7 linked regions of the Mus musculus genome follow. The protein of the gene in region 4 interacts with the protein of the main gene of each other region in a pairwise test. Links are inferred from orthologs where the notes say so. Each region holds a gene or a part of one and is shown on either strand. Other genes may lie near its edges.

Evidence for each region.
Region 1: the proteins of Rbfox2 (region 4) and Qk interact in binary tests that used the Homo sapiens proteins (3 or more experiments, as listed by UniProt). The link is inferred for Mus musculus from reciprocal best matches to the Homo sapiens genes RBFOX2 and QKI.
Region 2: the proteins of Rbfox2 (region 4) and Psmf1 interact in a two-hybrid assay, tested with the Homo sapiens proteins (2 studies listed by BioGRID and IntAct). The two-hybrid records come from large-scale screens. The link is inferred for Mus musculus from reciprocal best matches to the Homo sapiens genes RBFOX2 and PSMF1.
Region 3: the proteins of Rbfox2 (region 4) and Rnf8 interact in binary tests that used the Homo sapiens proteins (3 or more experiments, as listed by UniProt). The two-hybrid records come from large-scale screens. The link is inferred for Mus musculus from reciprocal best matches to the Homo sapiens genes RBFOX2 and RNF8.
Region 5: the proteins of Rbfox2 (region 4) and Rbm42 interact in a two-hybrid assay, tested with the Homo sapiens proteins (2 studies listed by BioGRID and IntAct). The link is inferred for Mus musculus from reciprocal best matches to the Homo sapiens genes RBFOX2 and RBM42.
Region 6: the proteins of Rbfox2 (region 4) and Hmga1b interact in a two-hybrid assay, tested with the Homo sapiens proteins (2 studies listed by BioGRID and IntAct, with this or other methods). The link is inferred for Mus musculus from reciprocal best matches to the Homo sapiens genes RBFOX2 and HMGA1.
Region 7: the proteins of Rbfox2 (region 4) and Hnrnpf interact in binary tests that used the Homo sapiens proteins (3 or more experiments, as listed by UniProt). The link is inferred for Mus musculus from reciprocal best matches to the Homo sapiens genes RBFOX2 and HNRNPF.

The regions. Positions count from the first base shown.
Region 1 is NC_000083.6:10,235,862-10,239,361, forward strand, and holds part of Qk (protein quaking), read right to left. Parts: intron 3,176-3,500; coding exon 3,032-3,175; intron 1-3,031. UniProt on the Homo sapiens protein: RNA reader protein, which recognizes and binds specific RNAs, thereby regulating RNA metabolic processes, such as pre-mRNA splicing, circular RNA (circRNA) formation, mRNA export, mRNA stability and/or translation.
Region 2 is NC_000068.7:151,738,511-151,742,579, reverse strand, and holds the start of Psmf1 (proteasome inhibitor PI31 subunit), read left to right. Parts: upstream 1-1,269; 5' UTR 1,270-1,425; coding exon of another isoform or gene 1,426-1,440; coding exon 1,441-1,569; intron 1,570-4,069. UniProt on the Homo sapiens protein: Plays an important role in control of proteasome function. Inhibits the hydrolysis of protein and peptide substrates by the 20S proteasome. Also inhibits the activation of the proteasome by the proteasome regulatory proteins PA700 and PA28.
Region 3 is NC_000083.6:29,635,289-29,638,788, forward strand, and holds part of Rnf8 (E3 ubiquitin-protein ligase RNF8), read left to right. Parts: intron 1-529; coding exon 530-734; intron 735-3,500. UniProt on the Homo sapiens protein: E3 ubiquitin-protein ligase that plays a key role in DNA damage signaling via 2 distinct roles: by mediating the 'Lys-63'-linked ubiquitination of histones H2A and H2AX and promoting the recruitment of DNA repair proteins at double-strand breaks (DSBs) sites, and by catalyzing 'Lys-48'-linked ubiquitination to remove target proteins from DNA damage sites.
Region 4 is NC_000081.6:77,097,554-77,101,053, forward strand, and holds part of Rbfox2 (RNA binding protein fox-1 homolog 2), read right to left. Parts: intron 1,940-3,500; coding exon 1,886-1,939; intron 1,780-1,885; coding exon 1,687-1,779; intron 532-1,686; coding exon 387-531; intron 1-386. UniProt on the Homo sapiens protein: RNA-binding protein that regulates alternative splicing events by binding to 5'-UGCAUGU-3' elements. Prevents binding of U2AF2 to the 3'-splice site.
Region 5 is NC_000073.6:30,647,429-30,651,714, forward strand, and holds the start of Rbm42 (RNA-binding protein 42), read right to left. Parts: upstream 2,801-4,286; 5' UTR 2,650-2,800; coding exon 2,510-2,649; intron 2,292-2,509; coding exon 2,156-2,291; intron 388-2,155; coding exon 303-387; intron 207-302; coding exon 132-206; intron 1-131. UniProt on the Homo sapiens protein: Binds (via the RRM domain) to the 3'-untranslated region (UTR) of CDKN1A mRNA.
Region 6 is NC_000077.6:120,761,652-120,764,892, forward strand, and holds Hmga1b (high mobility group protein HMG-I/HMG-Y), read left to right. Parts: upstream 1-1,142; 5' UTR 1,143-1,237; coding exon 1,238-1,339; coding exon of another isoform or gene 1,340-1,372; coding exon 1,373-1,561; 3' UTR 1,562-2,741; downstream 2,742-3,241. UniProt on the Homo sapiens protein: HMG-I/Y bind preferentially to the minor groove of A+T rich regions in double-stranded DNA. It is suggested that these proteins could function in nucleosome phasing and in the 3'-end processing of mRNA transcripts.
Region 7 is NC_000072.6:117,905,348-117,909,581, reverse strand, and holds the start of Hnrnpf (heterogeneous nuclear ribonucleoprotein F), read right to left. Parts: upstream 2,801-4,234; 5' UTR 2,743-2,800; exon of another isoform or gene 2,473-2,742; coding exon of another isoform or gene 1,741-2,472; exon of another isoform or gene 1,664-1,740; intron 1,479-1,663; coding exon of another isoform or gene 1,377-1,478; intron 1-1,376. Other genes in the region: uncharacterized protein 4933440N22Rik, read left to right, coding at 1,377-1,478, 1,741-2,472.

The sequences.
Region 1 (3,500 bases), on a different chromosome or scaffold from region 4:
GGGGGGGGGGGGGGGGGCAGTTTTAAGAGGTACACAATTAGAGTTAGATAAGAGGAATAAACTCTAGTGCTTCCTAACAACAAAATGGCTACATTTAAGAATTTATTGTTTATAAACAGCTAGAAGATTTCCAACACAAAAGAACTGAAAACAATCTAAAGTGAAAAAAAGGGAAAGTCAGGGAGAATAAGAGAGGAATAAGAGGAGAAACAGCTAAAACTCAGGGTCACTTGAGGAATAGTATGGAAAGAAACCTACTATAGTAGAAGTAGTCACAAAATATATACATATATGAAAGAAATATAAATGGAGTCACTAAATAACAGGGAGACCAAGTCCAAGTAGACATCTCTCATCATCAAATGAGACATCCAATCTTTGAAATGCATTACATCTAAAGTTCTTGTTAAAGGAGCTCTATAGAACCCCAACAGCCAGAATATATTACTGAAGCTACTTACTGTTTGCTCTTCACAAACTGACAGTAATATCCTATTGCTGGAGGCAATATTTAAATAACTCATTCAACAAGAAGGTAGGTTAGTGCCTACCTAGAGCCTTCACTCCTACTGACTGGTGTTCATGGTAGTAGAAGGACTCTGCATACTGTATACAAGAGGAGACAGGTTCACACCAATCCAAGTATGATCTATTTGTTCTATAATGGTGGCCTAGTAGATACACAAGTGCAATAGTGATACAAACATTATGGGAGTAACTACCACTATCTGACTGGAATTAAGGCCCACTTCATGAGATGGAACACCCACATGGCCAGGAACCTGAGACAAGAAATCCAAATACTACTGTTCTGATAAAAGAACACAACAATAAAGTGACTTTCAATGACATTCAGCTATACTCATAGATAAGTGTCTTGCCCAGCCAATATCAAGAAGCAATCGAAGGGAACAAATATAGAGACATACAATTGGACAATATACAGATAAGAGCCCTTGCTTGGGAGACTCAGTACTAAAAGGAGTGTCTCCGTCTAATCTCTTATTTCTGTGCTCAGGGAACTTTGCAGAAGTGGAGGGGGAAATATTCTAAAATGTGCCATAGCTCTCATGTGAAATTCAGAGGACAGCTTCCAGAAATTGGTTCTCCCACCACTGTTGAACCTGAGACCAAACTCAAGTCAGGCTCATCAATCAACAAGAAATTCTATAAATGAAAAAGTGGGTACTCCAAAATCTTATCTCACCACTAGTTATTCCCCCACTAAATTAAAGAAACTGGCTAAAATTTTCTAGAACTCACTAATAATCTCCTAAATCAATGTTCTTCTTCTATAGTACCTTTTAGAATAAAAGTAAATTACAAAAGCAATGACTAGAAAAATAAAATGGGTAAATAGTAAACTATTAGACCATTTTCATTTTGCTACATTAGTTAAACACATGTGTTGTTAGATACACAGCACTGTAATACTTTCCTGTCTATGAAACTGCAACTAAATACCCACAAGTCCCCTTTGCACTGCTTTTCAAGACCACACAGTTACTAAGGAAAGGAAAGAGGATAAGATTGAACAAACAGTGCATATTTACAAACAATCTACATGTCCATGTTCCTTAAGTATCTATTGACAGAATTTGTATCAAATTCTTTCTTTGCAAGAAACCAATTTTGTCAAATGAATGGGGAAATGTTTCTAATGTATGAGGTCACTTAGAAAGTGGACTATGGCCTGGCAGTGGTGGCACACACCTTTAATCCCAGCACTTGGCAGAGGCAGGTGGATTTCGGAGTTCAAGGCCAGACTGGTCTACAGAGTGAGTTCTAGGACAGCCAGAGCTACAGAGAAACCTTGTCTCGAAAAACAAAACAAACAAACAAACAAAAAAAAAAAAAGAAAGAAAAAAGAAAGTGGACTATGAGGACAATAAAGATCAGATTGCTAGGATATAAACAACAGTAGATCCCAAAGACATTCATGGAAGCAACAAAATGGCTTTGGTGACAGCACACTAACAATAGATTTTCCTAGCTTCTTTAAGAGCAGCCAACTGAAATATTTCCATGAGAAACATGAGAAAGATGGCTTCATAATCTACTTAAAATCATTTTCTTCTCATTTCCCACTGGGGGGAAAAACAGTACTCTGATATTATGCAGCAATATAAATAAAGTGAAGAAGAGTTGAGGGAAGAAAATGGAGAGAAAGAATGGAAAGAGGTGTTAAGCCTCATGCGATGCCAGTCTCAAATTTTACTTTCAATTTCTGACATAAGATTTCTAAATATGACCTTGAACAGTGTTTGTTAGCTGATAAGTGTAAGAAATATTTGGAGTAGTGTCTATGAAATCAGTAAAACTCAGGTTTCAGAAAGAACACAAATTTCACTATGCAATAACAAAGTTTTACTGTGCAACATTAACTTATTTACAGAAGAAAATATGCCAGAAGAGAACCTAGCATATGAGCAAACTCTACTTTCCCACAGCACTAGTTACACTAGTAACTAGTTAATTTTTGAATGACTATTACGTAATCTTTTTGGATTTTGTTTTTTGCTTGTTTGGTGGTTTTTGAAACAGGGTCTTTCTACATAGCCCTGACTGACCTAGACTTACTATGTATAAGGCTGGCCTAGAATTTGCAGGTATTAGCCTGCTTCTGCCTCACAAGTTTTTGGGAGAGACTGCATGCATGTGCCACCTTGTCCAGCATACTTAACTTTTTTAAGAAAAAGAAGACAGAAAACAAACCAAAAACTTTTAATATCCTGATAGATAAATCTAGATTCTTCCTATAACAGAGCAATTTAAAAGTCTACTGTGTCTTTTAAAAAGTAGGCTAGTTAGGCTTGTTTCTCTACCACATCACTTCCTTCACAAAAATAAGCAGGGATTTTTGAGCAATCCTGTCTTTTACACTATATACTTAATGAGCCACACATTATTTTTATATTTGTGGTTAAATAAAATCTCTAACAGATAACAACTCATACTTTATTAACATTACAATTTCAAGTCAATCTAAAAAGGAAAAGGTAAAAAAAATTCAAGATGAAAATTTACTTACCGCAGGTACCAGTAACTTCTTCACTTCTTCAACCGCTCTCTTCAGCTTGATTTCTGCTCTGTTCTGAGCATCTTCCACAGTGATTAGTACATGTAAGTCTTCATTTAGATGCTCCCAATTGGGCTTGCCTCTATTTTGCTCCTCCTTTAAAAGAAAAAAAAAAAAGAAAAAAAAAAGAAAAGAAAAAGAAAAAAGCAATGTTACTAATACTTTTTTTCCCCCAAAGACAAAATACACCTTTTGTAACAGGCACCTAGTGCCAACTACTTAAAACCATCTTTTTATTATTTTGCTAGGATGACAGTACAAAGCTTTTCAATTAAGTTTCCAAAGTAATCAAAAGCCTTGCAATGGGACTAGTCAATCAAATGAGAACTCAGCAAACATATATGCTGCACCTATTATATATCCAGCTGAAGATAAAAGTGACCAAGACAATCACAAGAGATAGTATTGCTACTCTAGAAAA
Region 2 (4,069 bases), on a different chromosome or scaffold from region 4:
CCATGAGAGTTCTGTGCAATTGGCCATTTCTTAATCCAAGAAACCCTTCCTGATCCTTGCTTGGAACATAGGCTTCCTGTGGGCCTTGTATAGCTCTCTCAGCACCCCCAAATGACAGATTTCATACTGGATTGCTTTTTGTCTATTAAAAAGAAACACTACAAAGTTCCATCAGGGCAAGACCTGTGGCATGTTAACCTAGGCATGAGAGCTGAGAGAAGTCAAGGTCACTGGAGCCAAGGAGATCAGAGAATGAAAGGACACTTGGAGGTGATATCAGAAAGGCACAGGGCCTGTGGAGTGAGAGGGTGACAGACCTAGAGTGAACTTCGCCTTTGAGGTGTGGCTTGGGCCTAAGGAACATGGTCTTCCCTGTGTTTTAACAGAATCTCTCTGGTTGTAGGGTGAAACCAGTGTAGCATACAAGGCTGATGCCAGGCAACCAAGAAAAAAAAAATGACAATGGTTTGGGTCATGGTACCAACCAACATGGCAAAATTTATTTGTCTACAAAAAAGTATTGGACTTCAAGAAACATGGAGAAACAACAGGTGGTTAAAAAAATCTTGATGGAGATTGGGGCACAAGTGGCTAGCATTTGTCAGTTATCTCTGGGCTCTAGATGTGGTCAAAAGCTGTGTTTACTTGGGTGAAGTCATTTCACTCTTTCTGCTCTTTATATCACTCGCAAAGTGAGGATGGGTAATAAAATATACCCCATGAATTTGTTGAGAGGGGATGTAAAGGTTTTGGCACAGGATTTAGCATGCAATCAACATACATATAAATGCTATCCTAGAGACCAAATTACCAGTTCCCAGGGGCACCTCTATTGCTCACTGGCTGATTGTGACACGATTTCCAAATCTATGTAGTGGCAGAGTACTGTCATCAATACCAACTGTATAATACTGGATCTGGAAATTTTGATAAATGCATTAAAGTTTAGCATGTAGAATAAAGTGCTATCAGGCAAGAAGTACTGCAGGCATGCTAATAAATTACGATGAAAACATCTAAGACAGATTGCCTAAATTTTCCCCCGGCCTAGTACACACTCCACTTCGCAGATGAGAAGTCTACTGTAGTTGGTAGAAGGCAGTCTCTCCCCAGGAACGAACAGCCTGGCACTCAGCAGTCGCCTGCTGCAGGCAAAAAGGCTTTGAGAAGATAAGCCCTAGCCTGCGCGCTTCTTAGTGGAACCTTCTAGTTCGGTGCAGGTGTTTCCAGCCCGGAGCACGCACAAAGTCAACAAGTATTTCCGGTGCGCGTCTCTGCGTTTCCGCGTTTCCACTTTTCCGCGCAGGTGCGGACAGAGCCGAAAGCGAAGGCGGCATCAAAAGGCGTCGCTGCCGCTCGCGGTCCCGCTTCTCTTAGGCGGAGCGGCTTTCTGCATAGTCCCCTCCTTTTCTTCCTTTCCCACAGAAGCCGCAAACATCCATGGCGGGTCTCGAGGTTCTCTTCGCGTCGGCCGCTCCATCCATGAGCTGCCCGCAGGACGCACTCGTCTGCTTCCTGCACTGGGAAGTGGTGACAAACGGCTACTATGCCTTGGGCACGGGCGACCAGGTACGCGGGTGGAGGGGAGTCTGCAGCCCGAGGCCCAAAGGCCTGCCCTGACCGTGCCAAAGCCAGGGCCCGAGCGAGGCTTCTGATGCCGCACTTTAGCGCGCCTGGTGCTGGTGCCGACAACGGGCACAGCGTGCGTGTAAACTCGGGAACGGACGTGTAAAGGCGTCCCCGACACAGCCGGGGTTGTGTGGATCTGACTGAGACAGGCTAGTAGCTTCCTCAAGGTCCTCATCCACCAGTTTACCCAAAGCATCTGCCGTAGAATACTCCGTGCTACACCCTCAACTCCAAGCATCTGGATTCAAGCACTGGTGTGGCAGTGAACTTTGACCTACTCAGCCATATTCTAGGACCCCTTCTTCGAGGGGACAGTGTTTGGATTTCAGACTTGAATGCTGCGTTTGATTCTTGCTGTCCGTTCTCCTGAAGTACTTTCTGGGCTCAGGCTGCCCTTGCCTCCATTCTCTGCTGATGGGTATGCGTTTTCAGGGTAGAAGCCAAAAAAAAATTTTTTTTAATTAATTAGTTAAAAATTGAGAGGCCATTAACTGTTAATTTATCTACTAGAGAGTTTTATTTTCCAGCCTGTGGCCAGCAGATTAGTAATGCTTGCTGGACTCAGCAGGTATTTGTGTTGGTCCTCTAGCTGCCTCCTGCCACCCTCCTTCTGTGGGTGATGAGAGGAACAAAGCACGCACTTGACTGGGTAATACCAACTCAGCAGCTAAAGAGTCATGCTGCCCACTTTCTCTTTGCTTTTTTGCCTCCAGTGCTATAGAGCTGGGCTTGTAATATTTGATCTCAAGAACATGTTTGTTGACTTGAACAAACAGGCATTGATTGGTCTCCTTATTGAGGGCACGGCTACTCCCCATGAGAGCTCTGTAGCCGTGTGAGATAAGGTCAGTGGAGGGCCATGGAGATGGCCATAGATACGAGTTAGAAAAATTGGCATTGTGTTGTGGGAGTCTGAAGATTATAAAGAGAGAATGACCTGTTTATGTGTGCAGTTTTGGTTGGTTGGTTGGTTGGTTGGTTGCATTCTAGCCCAGAGGCACTAGGGTGAGCCCAGTGGCCATTAAGGAATGTTTCTAGCCTCAGGATTTTGTCTATAGAAGACAGCTAGCTTTACCTTTCTTTACCTTACCAGTCTGTCTGGAAGAATCTCCAGCCTGCCCTGCTCTAACCTTTCATAGGTCGCAGCCACTCTCAGGCCTTTGAGTCTTCATCTGAGGAAGTTACATGGTACAAACATATGCTTTCGTTATCTGCCAACCATAGCCTTGTGGGACACTTGATATTTTATATCAAGGTGCAGAGGACAGCCACATGATGTGTTGGGCCTGTCTAGCTTCTGTTTTCTGTGGAGTATCCGTTTCACCTTACCACAGTGAGGCTGTGAGCTTTACCTGACCCTAGCGATTATTTCTTGCTCCGGAATGAAGGTGTCGAGGTGGGGAGCAGAGCAGGTTGTCTGTAAGTCAAGAGCGCCTGCTGGTAGGGCCAGTGCTGTCCATGTAGGACAGGAGAGAGTCAAAGGTCTTGACTGAACACAGGTAAGGTCTGCCAGCCCTGCCTTAAACACCCGAGTCACCCTTGAAGTCCACACCACACTAGGAAGTTACCCAGAAAGGCAAGAGGGTTTCTCAGGCTGTGGCTAGCTTCAGTTTTGTTTTCTCCTTACTCTCCTGTCTCTGCTGAGGCTACCAGTCTCCTTGTCACCTAGCCAAGTTTGATTGTGACTCCTCTGGCAAAGGATTTCCAAACACCAGGGGTGGCCTCCCCTGCACTTGCTGTGTAAAGTCCTTCATGTGTGGGCCTTTGTCAGTGTTGTCCATCGCCCCACTCCTTCCCATCCCATCCCATCCTACCATGCTCTCATGAACACAGCTTCTGGTCGTGCTGTTTTGTGTTGAATGTGTGCTTTTTAAAGGGTTTTTTGTTTTTCCATAAATGGTATTGGACCATAAACTTTTTCTAACTCCTCCCACTCCCCCTGTAAATTCCCACTTTGTGACTTCTCCCTCTGTACCCCACTCATAACCAACAGAGTCCAGTTAGTGCTTCCTGACAGAATATTGCTTATTTTGGTGACTTGCTCTTACGAAGATGGTATTCATGGGTGCTCTGTGCATGTGTCCAGAGGGGAGAGTTTCATAGAATTACTCCTCCTCCTGGTTCTTTACTGCCAATACACACACACACACATGACGTTTTCTCTAGAATACTATAATTTGATCTAGTGTGTTCCTTCTGACTGCAGTGTAATGTGCCACTGTCAGCATAGTGTGCACTTTACCTCGGCTTCAGCTGTTCAGGCTCACACTGGAATGAAGGTTGACATTGCTTATCAGGCTCCCACATGTATCCACAGCTTCCTTCTAGGAGGACGTTTGAGTCTTGGCTCATACAAACCTCATAGAGCTAAGTACTGCTAGGTGGACTCCCAAAGGGCCTGTGTAAGTCTGAATTCCCAGAAGTAGTGTCGAAGGTTCAC
Region 3 (3,500 bases), on a different chromosome or scaffold from region 4:
AAAAAAAAAAAAAAAAAAGATAAGCAAACACCTGTCTCCTAGGCTACCGTTTGTTACTTCGCCATGTTATCACACCAGCTATTTTAATTTTCATACATTTTCGTACCATTTGTAACCAATTCATTTTATGCTAAGTGTTACGCTTATACAGTTGAGTAGCAGGTGAGTTTTAGTCTTTTTTACACCTTTGGAAAGGAAGATGGGTGTGCAGAGAGACTGCTGTTCCCAAGCAGCCCCTAGGAAGATTGGGTGTGTCTGCCTCCTGCGGAAAGACCAGGTCTGTGACTGGAGTCACTTTGGCTGCCACTTTGGCTGCAAGTCATTCCCAGCGTAGTCTCCAGTCTGATGGGTTGCTTAGGACTGTGGGAACTGGAGGGGAGTGGGAGGAAAGGGAGGCAGAACCGGGTGCTGAGCCAGCCGGAGCAGAGCGGAGCCTCTGTGAGGCGGGGCTGTGGTGAGTCTGCCTGTGGGCCTGGGAGATTCGCTCTGTTGTGCTTGAGAAAGTAAGAGTGTCCCTTTCACATTGCAGGCTGTCACCCTGAACTGTGCCCACAGTTTCTGCTCCTTCTGTATCAATGAATGGATGAAACGGAAAGTAGAGTGTCCCATTTGTCGAAAGGACATTGAGTCCAGAACCAACTCCCTGGTTCTGGACAACTGCATTAGTAAGATGGTGGATAACCTAAGCTCAGACGTGAAGGAAAGAAGAAGTGTCCTTATTAGGGAACGGAGAGGTGAGTGGCTCTGAACTCCTACTCCCTGACAAAGGGCTTCCTTACTTAGCTACAGCAGGCGTTTTTACAGGGTGAAGTTGGACAATAGAGTTTAGTAAATGTTTTTGGAGTACAGGCAGGAGAAATGGGAGTATCTGCAGAGTTCAGGTAGCCCGCATAGGAAAGAACCGAATTAGAGTTAGTCTCTGTTGTTTGAGCTCCACCTGGTAGGTGTGTTCCCGCTTGCTCTGGAGCAAAAAGCTGGGCCAGAAAACAGTCAAATGGTTTGCTGTCTGCACACCAGGTGGTGCTGTTGCTGAAGGCAGCCGGCCAGTTAGAGATGGAAATACATACATAAGCTCTGTAAGGGCTTAGGGCTGGGGTGTAGTCAGCCACAAAGCCCTGGGTTCAGTCCCTAGCACCACTATTCACACACACACATTATTGCGTCCTGGTGGGTTTGATAACACATCTCCAGTCAGGGGACTTGGGGTGAGAAGATTGGGGAAGGGATGGCAAGTGTTCCTGAACTGTCCCTCCTAGTGAATATCTGTCCATTTAAGTCAGTGGTTCTCAACATCCCTAATGCTGCAACCCTTTAAAGTAGTCCCTCTTGTTGTGACTGACAACCATAAAATTAATTTGGTTACCACTCCATAACCATCTGTACGTTTGCTACTGTTATGAATCACAATGTAAATATCTGTTTCTGGTGGTCTTTGGGGGTCGTGCCCACAGGTTGAGAACCGCTGGTTTAAGTGATGCTGCCACACTAGGGGCTTGCTGTGTTAATGCCGCAGAAAGCCACTCCTTCATGTTGCAGCAGAAGATTCTTGGTGCAGAACAAGGAAGCTGCTGGGTATTGCATAGAGAGCCATGGCACAAGAGGCGGGGTGTCCATGGCCGTCGTGTTCTGTTGCTACCTTCTGGGAATTGGAAATTAACTCAGCTCCTGTCTGTGATGCTGTCACATGACCGGTGTGTGGGGGTTGGGTGGGGGTGGGGTGGCCTGGTTATACTCCTGAGCTGAGAGATGCTGGGCAGCATAGAGGCCAGATGCTGGTCATAGCAGTCGAGTGGCCCTACAGGAACCAGCTTTTCCAGGTAGGGACAGGGATCTGTTGCTGACACATGTGCATCCATAGTGTGAGACTGGGCTGGGTGCTGTGGATGCCGAGTGGGAAGGGTTCCTGGCTAGGAGTGTGAGCTGACCCTTGACGTGTGTGCTTGCTGCTTTCCTGATACCTGCTAGAGTATTTTGCTCAGTTTAGAGTCTCTATAAGTTTTACCTCTGCCCTTGGTTCTGGCAGAAGCCCATTGCTCTTCATTTCCACCTGTATTTCCATAGGAACATGACACTAGCCCTGGGAAGAGAGAGAGCATCTCACTTCCTCTCACGCTTACCTGAAGGTGTTGTGTGGCTTCAGAGGAAGGACCGCTTACGTGGGTCTGGGCAGGTGGAGATGAGAGAGGATCCTGTAGAGGAAGCCATGTTTATGCCAAGCCTTACAGCTTTCTGGTTGCTTGCTTTCCAAGCCAAGAACATGACACAGTTTGCAGAACAGCCAAAACTGGGAGGGGCCTGCCAATGGCTTGCTTCTGTCTTCCTGGGAGTCAGATTAGATAAGGAGCAGGCTATGACTTTTGAGCGGAAGTGTGTTGTCTGGGTCAGGGTGGGATGCCTATGAGAGTTTCTTTTTTCTTTTTCTTTTTTTTTTAAGATTTATTTATTTATTTATTTATTTATTTATTTATGTAAGTAAACTGTAGCTGTCTTCAGACACACCAGAAGAGGGTATCAGATCTCATTAAGAATGGTTGTAAGCCACTATGTGCTGGGATTTGAACTCAGGACCTCTGAAGAGCAGTCAGTGCTCTTAACCACTGAGCCATCTCTCCAGCCCCCCCCCCCCCCCCAGGAGAATTTCTTTGCCCAGCCTATGTTGTTGTTCAGCTGATGACTGGAAGAGCCCAAGTCCGTCTCTGTCCTCTTATGGAGAGTCACTTGCATAGACTAAGGACCACAGTCCCTCCTCCCTTCTCTGCAGAGGCTAAGCAGGCTATCCCTGGGCGCCTCTGGAAAGAGGAGTGACTGTTCAGGAAACCACGCCCTGTTGCACACCCTGATCGCAGCATGTCTGGCAGCCAGTTCTCACCGCAAGTGCAGCTTTGCGACCCGTTCTTTAGACAGGCAGAAGGTTCTGTGCCTTGATTTAGGAAAAGATGTACCAGAGCCACCAGCAGCGTTGTTGGGCTGCAGTCTGGGGGCCAGCTCTCTGTGAGTGTTCAGCTCTCTGTGAGTGTTCTGGCTGCAGTGTGGGGGCCAGCTCTCTGTGAGTGTTCTGGTGCCATTTGAAGGCTGGTTTATTCCTTAGTGCGTGGGAATTTCTAAAAAGAACTTAGGATCTGGAATGGAAGAGTGTTCAGTGGTCAAGAGTACTTTCTGCTCTTCCAGAGGACTGTGTTCAATTCCTAGCACCCACATGCTGGCTTACAACTGCCTGTAACTCCAAAGGGATCTGACATGTTTTGGCTGTTTTAGGCACCAAGAATGCACATGGTGTGCATATATGTGTAGGTAAAACACCCTTACATATAAATACAACAAACCAAGCGAATACACAAAGAACGCAGGCTCTGTGTTTGGGCAAGGGTTTGGTTGATTCTCACGCAGATGTCCTGTGCTCTCCAAAAGCAGGGCCTTCCTCAGCTTCCCTGACTGTAGGTTTAGGTCCCAGTGGGAGCAGCACCTCCTGACTGGTTAGCTGTTGGGGGTGGGGGATAGTA
Region 4 (3,500 bases):
TGAGCAGAGCAGACACAGTCTGGCACTATGATCTCCAGCTCCCTCCTCACTTCTCTGTAGTAGTGTTAATCCACACTCGTGCGCTGCTGAGTGAACTCCATGCCAACACACTGCTAGCAAACACAAGATGGCTCTGGCCACTGTCTTAAGCTGTCACCACAAAGGCTTAAGGTAGCCAAAATGAGTGTTTATATATTGATGACCCTTGGTCAAAATTCTGTATTTTGGTTCTTGCCCTTAGTCCATTAATTTGCAAATATTCACACAGCATCTAAATGCTGTCAAGCAACATCCTAGGAATCAGGGAGGGCCAGAGCACTCTTTCTTCCCTTCTTTTGTATCCATTACTTATTTTAGAAATGGTGATTTTGGAATCTAATGCTTACCCTGGATAGGCGGGGATGGCTGTTGGAGGTACCGCTCGGACTGCACCATACACTGTCCGCCCTCTGCCCCTCAGATGGGCTCCTCGGAAAGCAGCTGCCGTGGTGGCTGCAGTTGGGTAAGGGAAGCCAGGAACTAAAGGGAGACCCAAAATATGACAGAAATTTCAACTGGCATTCAGAAGCTGGTACAAAGCTAGACTGAGAATCAATTATGGAAAAGGTAGAAGACAGGCACCGAATGTTCCCTGAAAAGACAGCAAGCATACATGCTAATTAACACGGGGCTTTGGGGGAGGGGGTGGGAAGAGAGATACAGGATGACCTAATGACGACTCCATGCCCCACTTGTTTGTCACGGTCTTGAGCTTACCCTGTTTCTTCCAGGTTTTTCCAGTCATTATGAGAACTGATAAGAAACTCTTTTATCATAGTAAGATGCACACGTTTTAATTTCTGTTGCTGATTTAAATCAGGTTAATATATTTTTTAATTGGCCAACTATTAATTTCATTTCTGTTATTATGTAATAATTATTACTCAAAAGGAAACTTCTTTATATTTTTAATGCTCCAAGCATACAATAGTTTTTAGAGAATTTATTTGTAATTTAATTTCTTTAATATTGATAAATAAACAGGAGTTTTAAAGACAAGGTTACTCTGTGCAGCCCTAGCTGTCCTAGAACTAGTTCTATAGACCAGGCTGAGCTCAGACTCACAGAGCTCCACCGGCCTCTGCCTCCTGAGTGATGGGATTAAAGGCTGCACTGCCACTGCCTGGTCTCCTCAGGCGCCCGGCATCCTGCACCCTTTAGCGAGACAGACAAAAGCTGGCTCTAAGTGTTCCTTGCTCTGGAAGCCTTGTACAAACATCCTGCTCTGTGGAATCTGGTTTAGTTACACCTCTTGCCAGGGGAAACAGGCCTGGGTAAAAGTGACTTTAGAGACAGCAAGAAAGTGGCCTGTCACGGACACTGGAGATGTCTAAGTGGTACTCCAGAGGAGAGTGGGTGGGATGAGCAGGCTTCAGTAATGCAGGCGAGACATGCTCTTATCTTCTGATTTCCTTATGATCACATCCAGGTAGGATAGTTACATGTTCATCTGTACACTTTCCCATGATTTTTGTTTTGTGGATGTTTCTAGTATGAGTTACATAAAACAGGGCATTGTGGTATCTATTACTCTGTCAAGAATGGTTCTTTTCCATCAGTTCTGCATTATGCTAGAACAAAAACAGACCAAACTAGCACATGTGGCAACCGTCAAAAACCCATGGTAGGTCAGTGTAGGCTACTTACTGATTAGAGGGATGTAAGTGTTGATGCCTCCTCTTCCTGACAAGGGCACAGCCGCCTCATTGCCTAGGGACACATCAGCTTGAAAGCTGGATGCTAAGTGCATTAAAAACAAAACAAAACCCACAAAGGTTACAAAGATGTAAGCATATGAGAAACCAGAGGTCACTGAGTAGCAGACAGGAAAACAGTGCACTCGTACCTGCATATAACTCAGGACCATACACAGCTCCAACTACTGGGCTTAACTTCCAGCCTGAAACAGAAGAGGACAGGAGTGAACTGTGCAGGTCAAGATGGCTTCAGGCACCTCTGGGCTGTTTTTCCTCCCCAGGCCAGAGTTTACATGAAAGGGCAATGGTATATCAAGGCAATGGTATATCTCTACAGTTTCTGCTTGAAAGCTGCCCTGACTTCCCTTGATGATAAAGCTGTGACCCCAAAGTTGCTTTTCATCTGTTTTATCACAGCATCAGACTGTAACTAGAACAGAAAAACAAAAATGGAGGGAGAGAAGATCACTATGGCGTTTGCAGACTGTGCTCAGAACTGTACCCAGATGGCCTGCTCTGAGCTGAGAGGAGGAAAGAAATCTGAGCCCCTCTCATTTGGCACTGCATGGCAACACACTTCCTGACTGACACGACATCTAAGCACTTTACACTAGATGCTTTATGAAGGCATCCTCAGGCTGAATTAAAACCTGACCTAGAGCTGGCTCACACAGCAGTGGCGCACACACACCTTCTCTCCCAGCACTCAAAAGGGAGAGGTGGGTGGATCTCTGTGAGTTTGAAGCCAATCTGGTCTACAAAGTGGTTCCAGGACAGCCAGGGCTGTTACACAGAGAAACTCTGTCTCAAAAACCAATCAACTGGGAACTTGATGGCACATTCAGTTATACTGCACAAGTTTTGTATGTAAACCGAAATCTCCCTTCATAGTAAAAATTGGGGTTCACCAAGGAGAGAGGGAAAGACATGCAGTAATGAAATGTGAAGTCCATTCCGAGCCTCTGTGCACGGCTTCAGGTTTAAATTTATAATAAACATTTTAATGAACATGTTATTCAAGACTCTGAAGGATACCAGGCTAGACATTAAGTTCAAGATTTAGAAATGTTGAATTTCCAAATACTATGTTGGGATTTTCCTTCCTTCCTTCCTTCCTTCCTTCCTTCCTTCCTTCCTTCCTTCCTTCCTTTCTTTTTTTTTTGAGACAGTTTCTCTGTGTAGCCCTGGGTATGTCCTACTTCTCTTGAGTACTTCGATTACAGGCGTGCACCACCACGGCTCAGCGTCAACATTTTATTTCTTTATATACTGTAAACATAGAATATGTATAAAATATGCCAAATATTTTCTTTGTAAGCAAGCAATGCATGCTACCCCTCTAGTAGTTAATAGAACACCACAAAAGAACTTAAGAAGTAGGGGGCTGGTGAGATGGCTCAGTGGTTAAGAGCATTGAACTGCTTTTCTGAAGGTCCTGAGTTCAAATCGCAGCAACCACATGGTGGCTCACAACCATATGTAATGAGATCTGATGCCCTCTTCTGGTGTGTCCGAAGTCAGCTACAGTGTACTTATGCATAATAATAAATAAATCTTTGGGCCAGAGCAAGCAGGAACTAAGTGAGCAGAGTTGACCTAGCAAGCAGAGGTTCTAAAAAAATTCAATTCCCAACAACCACATGAAGGCTCACAACTATCTGTACAGTTACAGTGTACTCACATAAATAAATAAGAACTTAAGAAGTAGCTACTGACTTTTATATACAAAAAGCAACATACCCTGTGATTCTACTTTCTGGAGTG
Region 5 (4,286 bases), on a different chromosome or scaffold from region 4:
ACATGGTCAGGGATGTACTGAGTGAAGACAGTATCAGGATGGAGATAGGGATCTGCAGCAGGGCAGAGCCAGAGTTCTTGAACCCAGACAAGTGTGCCTGGCCAAAAGTGAGGTCTTGGTCCCCAACCTACCTGCTCGCCTCAGGAACATGGCCTCTCGAGCCTCAGGACTGTCCAGGTGACCACGATCGGCAGGGCCAAAGCCAACTGTGGGGAGGAAGAGATGAGGATGGTGGGAGGCAACCTTTGGGCACCCCCTTTTACCACCCTGCCTGAAACAGGACCCCTCATTTTGTCACTTACCTGGGCCCACAAAAGGAGGGCCTCCCACCATGGGAGGAACAACTGTGGCTGCAGCAGCTGCCCTGGCCTCCAGAGTCTGTTGGACCTATTGGGGAGGAGTTGTGGCTCAGAGATGCTGGCTCCCCTGGCAGGTTAATACTTTTACCCTTTATTTTATGGGTCTGGTGACCAGTCAGAGTCTGCTACAAGGTCTCTTCACTGGGGCTTCTGTCGCCATACTAAATAAAGCTATTTTTGTTGTTTTTGTTTGTTTTTCAAGACAGGGTTTCTCTGTGTAACCCTGGCTGTCCTGTGACTCCATCTGTAGATCAGGCTGACCTCAGACTCACAAAGATCTGCCTCTGACTTCCAAGTGCTGGGATTAAAGGCATGTGCCACCACCACTTAATAGCTTAAGCTTTTATTATTAATATCTCCCAGGATCAACTTTTCTGACTCAGTTCCCTACAGCACTATCTCCCATCCAAGGACTAACCAGGGCCCTGTGATTTCTGAGAGCAGGTATGTTCAGAGTGAGGCTGCAGACCCCACACTATCTTAACTAATGTTCGACCTGTTCTCCCTGTTGTCTACCTCTACCTTACCTAGATTATTAGCCTCTTTCTCCATCTCCTTGAACTCACCCTTGCTCTCTCTAGTATATTATCAAGACAGCCAAAGCTACATGCTTAACCTATAAGTTGGACCATTACCACCCACCTTAGAATTCTCTAGTAGTTCCTCATTTCATCTTAAAGTGGCTCAGAAGACCCTGCTAGATCTAGCTTCCATCACTGTTTTAATCTTCTCCATTTTCCCTTTTGTTTGCTCCTCTCTAGCCACTGACCTCTCTGCTGTTGCATGAACAAGACAATGCTGTCTCAGTCTTTGCATGGACAACTTTTTGCCTGGGATAACATCACTCCAGACATCTGCATGGTTCAGTCATCTCATTTATATCTTTGCTTTACTAATACCAGATCAAAAAGGCCTTCCCTGACTGCTAATAAAACTCTTACCACTTTGTAAGGTCAAAGAAACAACGGGAACTTTTCTGTTTTGTTTTCTCCTATACACCCCTTGCTTAGAACAGTGCCTAGTGCTGAGAAGGCACAAGAGTGCCTTTGATCTTTTTTGTTCCCTCCACAATGCAAGGGATTGAACCCACGGCTTTGACATGCCAGGCATGAGATTATTACTAAGCTGCATCCCAGCCCACCTAATAACTGTGAACAGAATAAACACGTTTTCTCTGCTGGTGTTCCTCTAAATAGTTCCCCCCTGTTTCCTTCTTTCCTCGGCTTCTTTCTTACAGCTGACTATTAAGCACCTGGAATATTATCCATGAGTCTTGGGAATGACAACACAGATATACATTTTAATATTGTTTTGGTTTTTTTGTGGTGGTAGTGGGCTTAGAAAATAGGACTCTGCCAGGCTAAGTGCTCTACCACTGAACTACACCCCAAATCTGTGAATAAAAACTTTCAAGAGATTTTTTTTTTTGTTTGTTTTTCGAGACAGGGTTTCTCTGTATAGCCCTGGCTGTCCTGGAACTCACTCTGTAGACCAGACTGGCCTCGAACTCAGAAATCCACCTGCCTCTGCCTCCCGAGTGCTGGGATTAAAGGTGTGCGCCACCATGCCTGGCTCAAGAGATGTTTATATAGAATAATCTAACACTGCAGAAAGTTCTACCGGACAGGCACTGTAGAATATTAGTTTCCAATGGATTAAATATACTGTCTTGCATCCTGAGTCCCTGGCACTTAAGTGGTCATGCCAGCCAAAACATCAATCGCTGTCCATAGATAAGCCCTTATTGGGACCAAACCATTCTGTTCTCCCGACTCAAGCTGTAGCTCTCACCTTACCTGTTGGTATGTGTTGGTGGCGATAATTGGGCGGATCACAGGAGCTGGGGGGACCTGCATCGCTTCTACCGTGGGCACCGCAGGCACAGCAGTTGGGATTCCGGTCACCGGAGCTCCCAATACTTCTTGCTCAAACCTGGGGGAGCGGGACAGATACCATAGGTCAGGTCTCACCAAGCCTGAGGTGCTGGGTACTTCTCCACCGCGCCTTCATCCCAGCTAATGCCTCCCCGCATCCCTCGGGTCCCACGGCCCCTTATGGAACCACATCTCAACCTTCTGAAGACCTGGAGGCTACAGGGTTAATTGGGTTTGCCCGGGAACAGCTTTTATTTCTCCTACTCAGGGCCTTACAGGGCCATCTCCGCCTCCATTTCTTTCAAGCGTTCCTCGCCGCTCTTGCCCGGGATGCCGACACCAGGCCCCGGGACCACCGGCCCTCCCGCCACCGGGAGTCCCGGAGCCGGCCCTGCTCCGGCCATCGCTGATGCCATAGCCTTCACCGCTCCTTCCAGCAGCCGCAGCGGGTTCTACGGTCGAGTCCCTGTCGTCTCAGGGTGGGAGCCGGCCGATGACGTATGGACTACCGCGACGGATGCGCTGCGTGAGGACGTAGTTTAAGAACAGGGGCTGAGACTTGGCCACACCCCCAGAGCGAGCAAAAGCCAATTAGAGTGTCGGAAAGTCAGGGCCCCGGAAGGGCCTCTAATCTGACAGACGCGGCTGTACGGATAGGCCCCGCCCTCGTAGAGAAAGGTGGGCGAATGAGAGCGAAGCAACGTCACTTTGACCCACCCCGCTGTGGAAGCCGGAACTTTGAGGAGGCACGGAAGTTCGGAGGTCCTTCCAGAAGTTTGTAAACACTGCAAAGCCAGGGTAGGAGTCTTTTGCACTCGGTGGACAGATACACTGCCAGGGGTCAGTTCATTATTCTTTTTTTGAATAAAATTTAATTTTACTGACTACCTCCATGGTTTTCTTTTTTTCATTTTGGGGTTTGGTTTGGTTTTGAGCCCAGGTATGGAACTTCCTAGGTTGACATAGGCTTTCAAGTGCTGGGATTATGGATACAGAACAAAATATTGGCTTTTAAAAAAGATTTATTTATTATTATATCTAACTACACTGTAGCTGTCAGACACACCAGAAGAGGGTGTCAGATCCCATTACAGATGGTTGTAAGCCACCATGTTGTTGCTGGGAATTGAACTCAGGACCTCTGGAAGAGCAGTCAGTGCTCTTAACTGCTGAGCCATCTCTCCAGCCCCCCAAATATTGGCTTTTATACTAGAGATATCTAGAGAGAAGTGTGGAGGTACATGTCTTTAATCCCATAATTTAGGAGATAGCCATGCAGATCTCTGGATTTAAGGTCAATCTACAGAGCAAGTTCCAGGACAGCCAAGCTTAGGCAATGAGGGAGGTGGAAAACAGAAAGCTGGTAATAGAATGGGGTTGGGGGTGGGGTGATGTTCCAGCATGTGGCTCTGGCTTTAGAGTGAAAAAGAGAAGAGACTACTGGGACAATTGATGCTGGTTAGCTGGAGCTAAGAAATTAGCGGTGATTAAGAAGAGACCAGCTGAGCCGGGTGTGGTGGCGCACGCCTTTAATCCCAGCACTCGGGAGGCAGAGGCAGGTGGATTTCTGAGTTCGAGGCCAGCCTGGTCTACAGAGTGAGTTCCAGGACAGCCAGGGCTACACAGAGAAACCCTGTCTTGGAAAAAAACAAACAAACAAACAAACAAAAGAGACCAGCATCTGGGGCTGTAGAGATGGCTCAGCGGTTAAGAGTACCAGATGCTCTTCCAGAGGACCTGGGTTCAATTCTCAGCAACCACATGGTGACTCCCAACCATCTGTAATGGGATCTAATGCCCTCTTCTGGTGTGTCTGAAGACAGTTTTTTTTTTTTTTTTTCTTTTGGTTTTTTGAGACAGGGTTTCTCTGTGTAGCCCTGGCTGTCCTGGAACTCACTTTGTAGACCAGGCTGGCCTCTGCCTCCCAAGTTCTGGGATTAAAGGCGTGCGCCACCACCACCCGGATCTGAAGACAGCTATTATGCACTCATACACATAAAATAAATAAATCATATATATATATGTACATATATATATAAAAGACCAGCATCAG
Region 6 (3,241 bases), on a different chromosome or scaffold from region 4:
CTTACCCTGACAGCAAGGGATCTTGTGAAATTGGTCAGTTTCAGGAACTTCCTGAAACTATATGAGTTGTTTGCATCCCTACTTAAGGAACTTCCATGCAGGATGGGGTGTTTTAATTTCAAAGGAAACTGTTATACAACAGTCCTCACATAATGTTGTAGTTAGGGCTCAGCACATGACTCTGGATAGAGAAGTCTTCAGACAACATAGGTGACAGGAGATAGAGCAGGAGCTGTGGAGGGTGAAGACATCTTAGGAGAAATGCGCTCCTAAGGGCGAAGCTAGCAGATGACTGTCTTCCCAAGACGTTGGAGCTTGATGCTCCCTTCCTGGTAAACCACTTCCTCCTGCCTGGTGGCCAACTGGCATCCCTGAAAGGCCACCATTTCCCAGGAGTTCCGATGGCCACCAGACAGCAGGTTGGTCACAATCCACAGCTTTTGTCATAGAAGGGGAAGGGCTTTGATCTTACTGGATAGATCAGGCCAGACACCAGTATTCAGTGCCACCTGGAGGTTGGCTATAGGACTTGGTGGTTTGCTCAGACTGGGATCAAGGACACAGTGAGCAGGCATGATCTGTCCCTGTTAGCTATGAGGAAACTGCCAGGCAGCAGCAAATGATTGGGCTCCGGGCCCCCACTGTGTATGCTGTCCCCTGAGCCACAGGAAGGTCCCAGAGCACCCTTCTGACCAGTGCGGAGGAATGCTCAGGGGAAGGGTACTGCTGTCCCTGCACTATAGAGCACTGGAAGTACAGCTGCCTCCTTTCAGCGACTCACACGGTCTCAGTGCAGAGCCTGGACTGAGCAAGGGAAAGGCGGCAGTCTGAGCACACCTCCTCCCCAGGGCTGTCCATGAGGCATCTGAGCCTCCTGCCCGGCCCAGATGTCGTGTGACCTGCTATGACTCACTGGATCGTGAGTACTTGTTCCATGAACCCTGACACACAAGACAAGAGACCCTCAGCACACCTCAAACAATCGCCAGACACGGGTTGAGGTGCACAATATTCTCTGATTACTCCTAACTGGCTCCAAAGAACCAGGTCTCTGCTCAGAGAAGAGGAGATGCACAGAGGTACTCAGGGTTTGCAACTGGGGCAGGAAACCCCAGAATCCATGCTTAGATTTACAAGAGTCGCCTCTAATTGGGACTCCGAGTCGGGGCTATTTCTGGTGTTGGCGCGGCTCCAAGAAGGCACTCACTGTGTGCTGCCCCACACATAGAGAAGGAGAATGAGCGAGTCGGGCTCAAAGTCCAGCCAGCCCCTGGCCTCCAAGCAGGAAAAGGATGGGACTGAGAAGCGAGGCCGGGGCAGGCCACGCAAGCAGCCTCCGGTGAGTCCTGGGACGGCGCTGGTCGGGAGTCAGAAAGAGCCCAGTGAAGTGCCAACTCCGAAGAGACCTCGGGGCCGACCAAAGGGAAGCAAGAATAAGGGCGCCGCCAAGACCCGGAAAGTCACCACAGCTCCAGGGAGGAAACCAAGGGGCAGACCCAAGAAACTGGAGAAGGAGGAAGAGGAGGGCATCTCCCAGGAGTCCTCTGAGGAGGAGCAGTGATCACCACTCGCAGTGCCGCCTGCTCCATAGCCACTGAGGAGCAGCTGTCCCCTGGGACTGGAAGCCCTGCTCCCAGGCCCCTCCCCGCCCCCACTGCACACTACCGCACCAGGCACCAGCTGCAGGCTCTGCTCCGCAGCACCCAAGGGAGCAGGATTCGGCTCAGTCCCTGTGCCCTCCTCCCGAACACACCTGCCCCATCCTGACAAGGCTAACTTCCCATTTAGCCGCAGCCCGGCCTGCTGCGCACCTCCCTCAGAGCCGTGGCTCTCTGGGCGCTTTGTTTTGCGGGTCCCTTCTGCCCTGCTGTTCCTGGCTTCCCCGTAGAGGGTCCTGGGAGCATTCCCTGGCCTTAAGGGGCCCCGGCCCCATCTCACTCTGACAAGGCCCAGTGGCTGACCTAGCAGCAGCAGTGTGGTCAGGGCAGGGGATGCTTAGATCCCAGCATGTCCCCACCAAAGTATCACCGGGTGGGTTTCTCAGCCCCTCCTGCCCCACCCTACAGAGATCATGCACTGGGTTGGCTGAGCCCCTTGACAACAGGAAGTAGGATGATGTTGGCTCCACCCACTTTAATGTTCTCACCTGAGACTAGACAGATGGGGTTACCGCCCATCTCCAGAGTAAGGGCCTGTTCTCGCCTCCACCAAAGGCAAACGGGCACCAACACGCCTCCCCCAGTCCACTCTAGGCTGTTCCTTCCTCCCGCAGGGCACTAAGGAGCTAGCCTTGCCGCCCCCTCCTTTTCGCTCCTCCCTGCCCCCCATGGTTCTGGTTCCATCTTCTCCTCTGTTCACAAACTACCTCTGGACGGTTGTGTTGTTTTTTTTTTGTTCCATGTTCATTCTTAGATACCCACTATTGCTGCTGCTACCAGCGTCAGATGTTCATCCTCCTGAATTTGCCTGTATTCTCTCCCCCACACAATACACTCGAGGGGAAGGGGGGCTGGGGCGCAGCAGACTGGTTACCTACCCCACACTAAGGAAGATGGGGCCCCACCCCGTGGATGCTGCAGCAGAGTGAGGATGGGGGCCCACTTTGATGGGAAAAGGGTGTAGGGCCACCTCCCCTTGTTCTGTGGGGGAGGGGTGGCCAGTATTTGTCCCAGCCTGGGGCTTCCTCCCTGGTTTCTTATTTGCAGTTACTTGAATAAAAAACAAATAGCCTTTTCTGGACAGTCAAAAAAAAAAAAAAAAAAAAAAAAGATTTACAAGAGTCCTGCCTCAAAGTAAAGACGGTGCCTCAGTGTCTCTGCCAAAGGCGGAGTTCCTGGCTGGTACGGGGCAGCAGGTGAGGGGCACCTGGGAGGAACAGATTGAGGGGAACAGCCAGGGGACTCTCTAGACACACTGCAGGCATGGTGGGTTCTTGGGTCCCTGGGCATTGGAATCCAGTGTGCCTGCTCCAGCTAGATCACATCACTACCTTCATTTATAACAACAAAACAAAAAGTCCCAAGCTGATGCTTCTGTCCAGATAATTCCAAACCCAGCAATCTCACTGCCCTGGGCCGAGGGTGTGGCTCACATCACCGAGCATCACTGATGGGGCACCGTTGGCTTAGTATGCTCTCAGGCCCTGGGTTCAAGACTCCACATCTCATTGCTGAAAATTCAGATTCCTTCTTTAGGTTGCCCCTTCCTTCCCGCTACACTGCTGTGTCAGACCCTCTCACAG
Region 7 (4,234 bases), on a different chromosome or scaffold from region 4:
ACAGAGAACTGAAATTTTTTTGGTAAGCAAATGGTCAGTAGTTTTATTTCGGCATTTACTAAAGTCTTAAATATAATCACATATAAAACAAACATTTCAGAGTTCCAGGACAGCCAGGGCTACAAAGAGAACCCTGTCTTGAAAATCCAAAAAGAACAAAATAACCCCCCCCCCAAACAAAACCAAACATCTCAAAAGTACAAAATACAGCCAGGCGTGGTAGTGTACACCTTTAATCCCAGCAATTGGGAGGCAGAGGTGGGCGGATTTCTGACTTCCAGGCCAGCCTGATCTAGAAAGTGAGTTCCAGGACAGCCACAGCCAGGGCTATACAGAGAAACCGTGTCTCGAAAAACAAAAGAAAGCTGTTACACACACACACACCCCCTTGTATTAGCTGTGCTTCGTGATACATGCCTTTAATGCCAGCAATTCACAGCACTATGGAAGCAAAAGTAGGTGTGTTGCTTGAGTTTGAAGCCAGCCTTATCTAAATATACAGTAATTTTGCGCCAAGGCGTAATATAATAGTTAGACCCTACCTCAAGAAACAAGTAATCACTTTTGCATTTACTTTTAGATCCAGTGTGCCCAGGCCTTCCTTCAAATCAAACCATGAATCTTTTTTAAAAATTACTACAAAAACGGGCATAATACAGACAGAATGGGGCTGACAAAGCGTGCCTAAAGCCTGCCATGCCCAGTAACTACTAATGGGGTGTGGTCGAGTTAGTACTCCAATCTAGAGGTGGAGCTGAGTGATCTGGAATTCAAGGTCATCCTCTGTGGCTACATAATGATTTGTAACTTAAAAAAAAAAAAAAAGGCTGGTAAGACTAATGGCAACACGAGGGAGATAAGAAAAGCAGAAAGTTCAAAATTTAAGTCAGGATTTGGTCTGTAAGACTGTTCTCAACTGAGATCTACCTCCGAGCGCTGAGCGCAAAAGCATGCATAGCCACCCGGCGTACTCAAAAGTACTTCGACATTGTTCAATGGGCTAACGCACTTTTTGCCAGACCTTAGCTACCTGCGCTCAGTCTGAATACACAGATGGAAGAACTGAACCACGTTTTGACCTCCACTCCGCAGCACGAAGGGAAGAAAGACTTAAGTATTAACTATTTCCAGATATCGTCTGTCTTGTTCAACTAGAAGAATTAAATATTTAAACCACCCCCTGGACAGAGCGATAGATCATTGTGACAGGGACCCTCAATTCAATCCCAAGGACCCAGTGCTGGAAAAATCCATTTCTTCACCTTATCCCCTCACCTCCACGCACAAATAAACATTAAAGGAAACCGACTAAAATAAGCCCAAAAGTTCCGTAAACAAAACTGCCCAGGTTCAGGAGACCGATCCCGCACAGCCACATGGCGGCCACCCGCGCTCGCTCGCCCGCTTACTCCGCAGCCCGACTTGCAGGTAGGAAAGAGGCCCATTTGTTTGTTCCCGGACTGGCAGGGGCAGAAAAGGTCGCTGGGTGGGAGTCTTAGGGCACATGGGGCTGCCTCTCCGATCCCGCCGGGTCGGGAAGGCTCCGGAGAGCACGCGCCGAGGGAAGGCCGAGCGGGCCCACCTCAACTTTTCCCAGACACGTGAGGCTCCACAAACACAGCACAAAAGTGCTCGTAACTGCGGCTAAGGCCGACTAACCCACCTAGGCAAAGACTCCGCACCCCACACGCTAACACGATACCTCTGGGGGACGGGACCGGCGCAGACCGGTGCTCCTAGCTCCCGGGCCGCCACGAGGAGGAAGCGAGGCGCTCGGCTTCGCTCGGGCCGGGCGTGGGCGGTGGGCGGAGCCGTCCCGCCCAGTCTTGTGAAACTCCGGGCGCCTCGGGCCACGTGAGCGCCCGCTCGTCTTTCTCCAAACTACAACCACCGCCCGGGCCTGCCGGGGGGCCGCTGACAGAGCGTAAGCCGCGGTGGGTGAGAAGCGCTCCACCCTCACCCCCCCCCCCAATATCCCGCCGAGGAAGCCGCGCCTGCGGGCGGGGTGGGGGGGCGGCTCTGAGGAAAGCCGCGCTTTCTCCGGGCGGGCGTGGGCCGCGGCTGCGGTCTCCCAGGCCCTCCGCACACCTCAGCCCAGAGGCCCGGCCCTACCGACCGGACTCCAGCCCTCAGTCCCCGCTCCCCCGACCGCACACCTCGGCCACGCGGCCCAATCCCCGTCGAAAATGCGCTGAACTTCGGCTCCCGACCCCAAACCCCGGCCACGCGGTCCCCAGCTCCGTGGGCAGCCTCCGCACGGCTATGGCTGTGCGGCGGCCACCTCGGCCCCGTTCCTTCCGAGTCCGGATCCCACGCCCGCCATCCAACGCCCGCCGGGCCCAGGCGCCAGCACACCCCGCCGGCGGCCCTCACCTCCGGCTTCTCGGCTCCACGCTCCCACTCACATCCGGACCTCGCCGGCCCTCAGAGCACCTAGAGGAGGGTGGAACCCCGGGGACTTGGCAGTTGTAGCTGAGGCAGTTGAGGCTTGTTTACTGTCACCATGGAAACCCCCACAGGCGCGCTCGCGGGACGGCCTCAGCGGGGCGAGTCAACCGCGCGGCCGGCCTGCTCCTCAACTCCCGCCTGCCGAGCGCCAGCGGCGCCTCCGGAAGCCCTCCTGATCCCCGGTCCGCTCCCCGCTCGGCCCACGCCCCGAGCACCCGGAAACAGTAGCCCGGGGAGCCCACTTTCCCTTCCCACAGCCGGCGTGACCGCGGGCTGGCCTTCCCCGAACCCCACCTTCAGGAAGACGAGGCGCAGTCCTCCTTCCACGACGGAGCCGGAAGGATGCAAGACGGTGATGGGGCGGAGCCTCAGGCAGCGGACATCCGGGCACAGGGCAGCCGCGGCGCCATTCTGACGAGCCCAGAACGGAGCCTAGGATTGGCCGGGGGAGGGAGAGGGGCGGGACTAGAGAGCTGTGGACCCGCCTCTGAGTCCCGGAGAGGACAGTGACGGCGCAGGCGCAAACATTGCGGGGGGGGGGTAGCAGGGGGAGGGGGCGGGCAAACGAGGGGGGGGGGGGAGACAGCAAGGTGGAGGGGGTTGTCCATAAAGAGACCTGTGGGCTGGTGAGTCGGTGGACGCTGAATTCTGCACGCGTGTCTCCGCATCCCGAAAAGTGATCCCAAAGGAATCAATGACCGCATGCGTGCGGAAAACTAGAATGGTGTCTTATGTAAAAGAAAGACCGCCTAAGGGCATCTCAGGCAGTCCGGAGGGATTTGTCTGAAGTTTCTAACTCTCAGCACTATGTGAACGCTGGGACAGATTTTCTTGATGTGTAATAATTTGGGAGGATTCTCTGCGAGATGTCGAGATACAAGCTAAAGTGAAGATTATTTTTGAAGCTTCCAGAGCCGCCTAGGCGGGCGTAGGAACACGAGCTGGTTCCTACGAACTCCATTTCTGCATGGAGGCGGCCGAGGCTACAATGCATGGTCGCGAGCTGCTGTCTATATAAACACTGGAGAAATTACAAGGCCGTTCAGAATAATCTCTGGTTATAAGTGAACTACAGTGATGAAGGAAACGTTTATAAAACAACACACCAGACTAACTCCAGAAAAAGGAAAGAAAACTTTGAGAGGAAAACCTGTCCAAGAAGAAAAATAGAAGTCAAATGATAGAAAACAGATGCTACAAAAGTTAGATAAGTATTCGTGAGCACTAAACCCAGAGCCTTGTAGTTGGCAAATTACATCCCCCACCTCTGATGTTTGTTTGTTTGTTTGCCCAGGGAGTGGGGCATTAAAATTGTTAAGTTCGTGCGAGTTATCACCACACTTTCAACTGAAGTCAGAGGACAATCCTGAGTGTTCTCTCCTTCCACCATGTGGGGTCCTGATCAAACTCAAGGTTGAAAGGCCTGTGCAGCAAGTTCTGCTGAGACCTCTCACCCTGCTCCTTGGGTGGTTTTATTTATTTTTAAAGTTCCTTACTATTGCCAGAGAAAGGTGCAAGTGACTTCTAACCTTGAAGAAGCCAGAGAGCAACTTTTCACAAGTATTTTCATTTCCCTTAGGTGAGTTCCAGGGGTCAAATTGAAGTTCCCAGATTTTTACAGCCAGAGGTTTCACTTTTGAGCTCCCTCTGTCTGACTGCAACCCAGGCTGGCTTCCAACTCTTGTTTTGTTTTGTATTGTTTCTTTTGGTTCCCCACACCCCCACCCTAAGACATGGTATCTCTGTTGTAAAGCTGGCTGTCCTGGAACTCACTATGGCTCCAATT